Linked DNA regions of Caenorhabditis elegans. The protein of the gene in region 2 purifies or fractionates together with the protein of the main gene of each other region. This does not show direct contact. Each region holds a gene or a part of one and is shown on either strand. Other genes may lie near its edges.

Region 1 (3,803 bases), on a different chromosome or scaffold from region 2:
CCACCACGACCACCAGCACATCATCTCCAGTCCAAGAACAGCCGTGGTACGAGAAGATTTTCGGGAAAATGACAATGATCCAAGAGGAATCATCGATGGGCGGTGAAGACGACGATGCTCACGAAGATCATTATTCGAGATAATCTGGATTCCTCCGTCCACCCCCTACCTACCTACCTAAAAATCTGCCAAATTCTCACAAATTGTCCCAGTCCAAAATCTCTTACAACAAGAACAAAAAATCCCCTCCAAATTTTCATGTCATATCATAATTTTCCCCCCACACCACCAAAAAAATGTCCATATTTTGTATTTTTGTGTCCCACCCCCCGGCCAATCTGAGCCATATTTATTTTGATAATGATTGTAAAAAGTTATTTTGTGATCTCTACCGTTTCCCCCCAAACATTCCCCATTTCTCTATCTCTCTCTCTAGTCTATCTCACTCTCTCTATCGGTGTCTCGCCACGATACCCACCGACCCAGAACGCCAAGAACAAATATGAAGAGATTTGAATTTTTATTCAAAAACAAAAAAATACTCAAAATCAATCAATAATCCACAGACCAAACTTCACTGTTCCACTTGCAACGGACAATGTTCCGCCCGTATTTTTTGATCATTTCCTCGGCGATTGCCACGTAGTCCGCGCGGCATTTCTCCGAATTCGCGCCTTTCTGCGATTTCCAGGCGGCATATTTTTTCCTGCCGACCTCGTCACCGGCGGGAACTGCTGAAAAATATAGAATGTTAGATTTTGGATTATTTTCCATTCGAGACCCTTACGATACACATCCTCATTTGGAATGTCCCCATGGAGAGCCTGTTTGTACAATGCGTAGAGTTTCAGCCGCTCTCGATCGGTTGGCTCGGACTTGAGCCGACGCATCTCCTCGGCGGCAATTTCAAAAGTTAGCCCGGTCCATTTCTGAGGGAATTGGGAATTTGATTGTTATTATTGAATCCTCGAAAAATTCGGTGGAGCGCGCTTGCATCTTTTACTATTATGGGGCGTAAACGGCCGCGAATCATGGGTCTCGTTATTACGGGACCATGAGATCATGAGAATGCCTATTACTGGCGCGAAAATATTGGCAGGCCGCGGCAGCGAGAGAGCATATGGCGAAGAGAGACGCAGGTCCCTTCGCTACGAGATATTTGCCGCCAGAGAAGTAGGCATTCTCATGATCTCATGGTCCCGTAATAGGTATTTGGTGAAAAATTTCGAACGTTTTCGAGAATTTTGCAGCGTTCTCAAAAACTACGGAATATATAGGAAAAATGTTTGAATTTACGATTTTACCGCCAAATTTGGACGCCATACCTAAACAAGACCCATAATTCGGGGGCGGAGCGTTTCAAATTAGCCGCCGAGCGCGTTTTCACGTCGATTTCATTTTTCTGGATTTAACAAAATCAGTGTTCTGGGCTTCCTCAATGCATTTTTCGCGCTCCATTGACAATCGTCAACGCGTGGAAAAGTGTCGTGTACTCAACACGGACAAATACATTTATTTTTACAACTAAAACCGAGCCGCGACGCGACACGCAACGCGCCGTAAATCTACCCCAGATATGGCCGAGGCAAAATGGCCTAGTTCGGCCTAAAATCTTCCATTTCAATTTACGAGGGAATTCCCTCCCTAGGGAAGCCAGAAATCCGTGACTACGGAAAAAAAGTTCAAATTCACGATTTTACCGCCAAATACCTAACGAGACCCATGGTTCGAAGGCGGAGCGTTTTAAATTTGCCGTGGAGCGCGTTTTCACATTGGAATGAGCGTCTCATTGAAGCGAACTTGCTGACCAGACTGAAATTGAAAATTAGCTCACCTTTTCGAGCTCGGAAATCGGCATTTTTGGAGGCGATAGAATTATTGTTGGCTCCCGCGGAGCACACACGCTTTTATACCCCCTAATTGGCTAAAATATTCGCGAATTTTCGAGGGAAATTGCCTGAAATTTGAGTGGAGGCCCTATATGAGATGTGTGTTCGATGAATATGTAATTTGAGAAAAATAATTGTTTATTTTGTGAGAAATATAATTATTTAAATTCGTTAAATAAGTTTCATGAAAGTTTTTACAGTAGAAAAGCTAAAAAATCGATATATTATGGATTTTTGAAGGCATTCAACGGTGAAAAATTGAAATTTAGTGAGTTTTTGGAAAAAAATTTGGGTGAGAATTTGTATAATTTTTGAGTAAAATAAAAAGTGGGGGAAATTAATAATTTTTATCCGTTGGTGTGTCGTTGCAGTCGCGTAGGGGGTTCCTTGCCAGTTGTTTCTCTGAAATTTCAAAAAAATTATTTAGTTTTTGACTGGCAACGAGCTCGTACGCGTCAAAAAAATACGATGAGAACAAAAAAAAACAAGGAGAGGGGTATGCGCCTTTAAGATAAGGATACGGTAACGGGGGGGAGGTCACTGGTCTCGACACGACAGTTTACTGCGAAAAGGTGTGCGCCTTTAAAGAGTACTGTAGTTCTCAATTTCACGTGTTTAAAATCGTTTTTTCATAGTTTTACAAAAAAAACATTTGGAAATTCGTCAGCAATCTAATTTGTAAACTACAGTACTATTTAAAGGCGCACAACGTTTTTTTCCCATTAAACAAACATTTGTCGTTAACGTTTCGAGACCAAAAAGTCGCGAAATTTAGTACCTGAGTAATAATAAACTAGGAAAACCTTGACTAACTACCGTATCAGAATTTAAAGGTGCATGTTTCATAAAGAAGCGTCTAGATAATACATTTTTGAAGTTGAAAACCCCCTAATTTTTTAAAAATTTACAGTTTTTCCAAGTGATAGGTAATTTTGCATGACGTGATGATGATGATTCAGAAAATAAACCGCAAATGATAAGAAATTATCAATAAATGTTAGCAAAAGTGATTACGGTATTCCGAATACTAAAAAAACAAATTTTTTTCCTAAATTTTTTAATTTTCCCAAAACCATAGCCAAAGTTGTAATTATTTTTGAATTCCCGCTTCACCGAATAATTCAGACATTTTTCCGCAAACATTGCGATTTTTAGGTAAATTTTCGAATTTCAGCGAAATTTCTCATGGTTATCCAGGCTTTTTTTACGAGAAAATACCAGAAAGTTTGAAAAAATTGAAAAACTAAACAATTTTTGCGGGTAAAATCCGGGAAATCGAATTTTGAAAAATCTGAAAACGAAATCTTACCAAAAACAGAAATTATCCCAATTTCTTAGATCAAAAATCTAAAAAATCTGGCGAACTCGTGTGATCTCTTTATTATTTGAAACTCGCCGCGATTTTCAGATTCCAAATCTTCTCCCATTTCTATTAAATTTTGCTCCGACATTGCAACAAAAAACACACAAAAACAAGTATTCATATATATTTTTAATATTTTATTAAGCATTTTTTTCCAATATTTTTAATTTTAATGTTTTTTTGGGGGTTTTTTTCGTTTCGTCTAACTTGTTCTTCTCATTTGTTATATTATTTTACGAAGTGACCGTATCGTTTTACTATTTCATATGAAGTTTGGAGATGGTTTAGGGTGTGTGGATTGGTGGAAAATGGTGTGAAAATCAGAAAATATAGATTTTTCAAGTTTAAAATCAAATTTTGAAGCGAAAATTGCAAATTTTCCGTAGGAATTTCAAATTTTCCCACCACTTCCGGAGGAGTTATGTGAAAATTCGAAAAACAGCTGAAAATCTGAGAAAAATGTTGTATTAAAGTATATTTTATAGCGAAAATTTCGAATTTTCCCACCATTTTCACCTATCGACACGTCTAGAAAGGGGACTTTCAAAATG
Region 2 (4,971 bases):
TTTAAAAGTTATATATCTAACATGGCCAAACATCGTAACAAAACACTTCAAATTGTTTTTTTGAGATTTTATCATTTTAAGCAAAGTATTAAGCTGCCAGATATTTTGAAAATTATTATTTAAACATTTCAAGACTTTCTGCACAGTTTAACGTTTACAATGTACAAATTTATACAGTTAAAACGCAACTAAAAATGTTTAAAATTTTGAAACTAAAAACTGAGTTTTTTTTCCATTTTTTTTAAATCTTACAATGTTGTTTGGTGATTTTAGTAACAAATTTGTGGTATCGACTAAATTCCACTTTCAAAATTTTTAGAGCATTAAATAATTTCCAAATTTTTCCAGAATAACGATGCTCAACTGACATTGGAAGAATTCAAAGAAGGAGCCAAAGCTGACCCCTCAATTGTGCATGCTCTTTCATTGTATGAGGGTCTCTCCTCTTGACGCATTTCAATATGTTTTCTTATATCAAAATTGCAAACACTATCATCAAGCGTTATGTCCCCTTTTTTCGTCAAAATGAAAGAATCTTTAGTATAATATTTGTCTTCTTATTTACATATCAAATTCCATAGATTAAAATGTTCAAATGAAATAGGCTGAAAAATGTGAAAAGTTGAAACATTAAATCAATAAATTAGTGAAATAGTCGAGTCCCTGTCCATAATCCCAAATGGCAATTCCGACATCGTAGCGGTGAGCCATATTGATGCGAAGTTCCAGCGAGGTGAGTGATGGGAAATAGGCGATGGAATTAGAGGTCTTTACTCTGTGCTCCATTGACTTTTCGTCAAACTCCAACTTGGATTTTTCAGATTTCAATAGTGTCAAGTATCTGAAAGATAATTAATTTGTCGTAATTTAATTAACTATTGATTTGTCAATATATAAAATTAAGAAATGATTTAAGAACTTTGGCAATATTTTATGTCAAACGTTTGGCTTTACCGAATTTTGGACAATCCAGTTTCTGTATTACAGTTGTTTTTTTTTAAATATTTTCCGGATTCCACAATTTTTACAATAACTTTACAAAGGTGGCCTTGTTCAGAATCTGGAAGATTTGGAACGTGAAAAAAAAAGTTAGAAAATTGAACTAAAAAAAAAGAACGTCCGGTTTGCCATCCCAATTCCCAGTGAACAATTGTTAAACTTGCAAATCTCTTCCACATTGTTCTATTTTCTTTTCTATGTAGCTCAACAGTATAATAAGACTTTCCATTTTCGCACAACTCTTTTTTCTTTCTTAATTCTCACCTATCCGCAGTGATTGCTTCCACATTGCCTTTGGAGAACTCATAGCCGTAGAAATTGAGTCCCGCCAGTGTTTTGTGGCCACCTCCCAAGTAGAAGATACAGCTCTCAAACTGAAATGAGATAATTTTTTTTAGAATTCCACGGAAACTAATGTGTTTCTCTCTTAGTTTTTTTCAAAAGTTTGCTGGAATCTTGCTGAATTCTTAAAGAACCCCAAGAAATTGGATTTTAGTGAATAAAATTTTTGAAAACTAACCCAGTCGTATGGAGCCACACCAGCTGGTTTGTTTCCCCGGTAATCGTAGGTCATTATCTGAAAAATTGACAATCTCACAGAAGTTTCTTACAGTGTTGTTTTCAACTACACAACTTAAATTCCTCCCACTTACCTGAACAAAATCGGAAACAGCTGTGATCTTCTTAAAGTCATCCGGAGTCACGAGATTGTTGGGTTGGCTGAAAATATGTTAATTTTTCCCAAGTTTCTTATCACCAATATTTCTACTTATTCCATTCCAGGGGCGCAGGAACTGTTAGAATCACTTGCATATGCAACTTTTTCATTTGCCTCGACAAGTCTTGTATACTTTCGATGATAAACTCCTTTACTTCTAGAGACTGCACAGAGATCAATGCTTGCATGTAGAGCTCCACGACAGCGCCTTCAAACTGGTTTCTCTGGAAAAATGATGGTGATTTTTATGTTTGTGTTTCTGACGGGGATAGTCTAGACGGTATTTTTATGTCGTTGAGTCAAGTTCAAGCCCTTTATCCCGATGGGTCCACTTGTCCATAACTGAGAAGTGGAGCAATCCACGACTGGATTACCGGCCGCAGTCCAAGTTTCAAGCGAGGCTTAACATTAGCCCAGTGGAAGCTTCAGCTACAGACCCTTCAGCTTGAATGACAGACAATCATTTACCGTATATTCTCTATTAGTGCGGCATCTCTACTGCCCTTTCGAAAATTAGTGCGGCAGTCTCCAGTAGTCCGGCAGTCTCTAATAGTGCGGCACCCCTTCTTTTTGGTTGCGAAAGCCACCTCAAATATTCGGATTCTACAATGGTATCCTTGTTCATTCTTCAATAATTTCTCATAAATTTTCACGTAAACATTGCATTTCAGAGTCTTTGGTGGCAAAATACACAATTTTCATTACTTTTCACATAAAATATGAGCTTTTATGAGGGAATTTTGAGGTTACTACTCTCGAAAGTAGTAACCTCAAAGTGAAAATTAGTTATCGAAAATTAGTACGGCAGTCTCCAGTAGTCCGGCAGTCTCTAATAGTGCGCAAGTCGTGGAAGGCTCGGAAATTAGTGCGGCATGCCGCACTAATAGAGAATATACGGTAATTCTTTATTTCAAATGGAACTAACGCTGTAAAAATTGGCGATATCCTCGAAACAATGTCTTGCAACTTTTGCATCCATCAACAAGTTCTTCATCTCCTGAGCACTCCAACCATCAAACAGAATTCGAGGCACAATCGCGATGTTTTCGTTTTTTTCACGGAGCTTTTCAATCCAATCTCGGTTAATTTCATGTGTTCCTTCAATCTTGCAGCCATCCAATTTCCCGTTTTCACTGAATGCCTTGGCTTGAAACCAAACCGGAGAGACGTGAGTCAGCTTGTGAGCTGTTTTCTCCGCCAACTCGTAGCCATGCCGGTTCCACTGAAACACAATACAGTTATTTTGTTATGTAAAATTTCAATAACCGGTGTAATATACGCCAGCTGAGTGAGCCCTTCTCGGTTGTCCGGAATGTGGAACTGATCGTTGAGTTGCTCGTGCTCTCTTATAATCGACGCTTTGGAAATTGATTCTGGCTTGAATTTCAGTGTTTCGATAAGCTCTTTTCCAGTGGCTTGAGCACTGACTCCAGATATCAATATCCACGTGGCAAGTATAATAATCATTTTTTGTTAACTTTGCTATGATACCCGATACGTTTTATCCTGAAAGCTACGGCACAATTTAGACTTAAACATTAAAAAAAAAAAATTAAAAAAAGTAAATAAACCTGGCATTCAAAACCAAACAACAAAAACGTGCAATTATAGAAATATCGATAAGATTTGCAAACAATAAAACAATTTTATTTTAAGAACAATCAATAAACTAAAAAGTCCTTAAAATAGAAGAGTAATGCCATTTTATAAATTAAGTAAACTGGTTGAAAGAGCAGTGTTGAGACCAAGATGAGATACAGAGAATGTTGATGGAAGACTAAGTGCGAATTGTGAATTTACCGGCTTTCGTTATATATTTCACACCCTTGAACGGCTTGTACTTTTCGCCGTACATATCCAAACGATTGACCTGGAAACAAATTGATGTCTGTGCGTTTCAGCATGCTTATTTTGAAGATAGTTTTGAAAATATGACTTTTTTTTAACTAAAATGTATGTATAGAAAAAAATTTTAAAGTCGGTTAGGTAACACCGCAACCAATAAGGTACAGGATTGTTGATCACTTGGAGAACGGTCGAACGGTCATATTATTCTACCCAAGTTTTTAAAAAACATAGACAATTTCTGAATTCTACTAATATACTTTTTGTGAGACTGGGCAAGAATGAAAGTTTCCAAATTTTAAAACTTTATCTCACTAAAATTCTATCTCACTTCTCCAAAAAGTCGGATAAACAGCCGCACAGCGCTGATAGACAAATATAATTTTAAAAAGAATTTACATTTCCTGGATGATTTTTCCGTATAATTCCTGGTCATTCAAATTGATATCTGACGATTTTTAGGACCACTACCAAGAGTTTTCCTAGTCATATTAAAAATTTGATTACTTGATTTGTTTTTTTATAAACTTGCATGTTTTTACTTTGCAAGTATAGGGGTATTCACTTCAAGCTGATAAAGCTAACCTTTAATCCGGACAGAACCAACTGGTTAATTTTGAATTTCAGTGAAATTGGTGGATTCTCTGCAACAGTAGTTCCGCTCACAGCAACTGATCCTTTGAGTGTTGATGGTTTTCCGACTTCAATTTTTCCAATGGTCCATTGCAATAGTTTAGTCGTCGGGTCGAACGCGATTCTTCCGTGACTCGCCACCAAATTGCAGTTTTGTACACATTTTGGCATTGTGATTTCAAGAACAACGTCTTCCAGCTTAACATCGTTTTTGTTAGAGGGATTGTGATTTAGATCTTCGAAAACTCACCACTTTACCCATGCTTAGCTTTGGTCCAACTGTGAGGTCAAGTTTTCCAGCATTTGGTTTCAAGGAGATCACTTGTCTAACGTAGATTGGAATGGCAACCATACTGAAATTAATTAAGTTATAGAAATTTTATCTGTAGAATGAAAATCATTACTTTTGTGCAGCAATATGATAGGACAACAGACGAAAGTTGCCATCTGGAGGAACAAATGAAAGAACCTTCTCGTTCTGAAAAAATTGTGATTAAGATATAAATGTTATGAGCGGTTTACCTCCCAGCGCTTGTATCTGACACATGGATGGAAGGATACATCATCTAGAAGTCTTGGGTTGATAAGGGTCATTGTGAGATCAGGCATTCCGGACAGTTTACAGCAAACGTCAACCTGAAATTTGTCAAGGATAAGATGAATATATTCTTAATATTTCCAAATATTTTTCAGAATTTTTACCTCCAGAACACATGCTAGTTCAAAACGTCAGCACCCAAATTTGGTGGTGTGAAGTATTATATTATTAAAATATT

What was found.
Region 1: the proteins of chil-10 (region 2) and acbp-6 fractionate together in Caenorhabditis elegans (co-fractionation; one large-scale study listed by BioGRID). This does not show direct contact.

What each region holds. Positions count from the first base shown.
Region 1 is NC_003280.10:11,971,809-11,975,611, forward strand, and holds acbp-6 (ACB domain-containing protein), read right to left. Parts: upstream 1,925-3,803; 5' UTR 1,859-1,924; coding exon 1,835-1,858; intron 930-1,834; coding exon 788-929; intron 735-787; coding exon 553-734; 3' UTR 505-552; downstream 1-504. Other genes in the region: mex-1 (C3H1-type domain-containing protein), read left to right, coding at 1-143.
Region 2 is NC_003284.9:956,140-961,110, reverse strand, and holds chil-10 (GH18 domain-containing protein), read right to left. Parts: upstream 3,231-4,971; 5' UTR 3,185-3,230; coding exon 2,984-3,184; intron 2,940-2,983; coding exon 2,643-2,939; intron 1,942-2,642; coding exon 1,769-1,941; intron 1,720-1,768; coding exon 1,653-1,719; intron 1,577-1,652; coding exon 1,520-1,576; intron 1,374-1,519; coding exon 1,264-1,373; intron 842-1,263; coding exon 631-841; 3' UTR 543-630; downstream 1-542. Other genes in the region: ncs-1 (Neuronal calcium sensor 1), read left to right, coding at 349-450; apm-3 (MHD domain-containing protein), read right to left, coding at 3,495-3,587, 4,148-4,393, 4,446-4,548, 4,600-4,673, 4,718-4,831.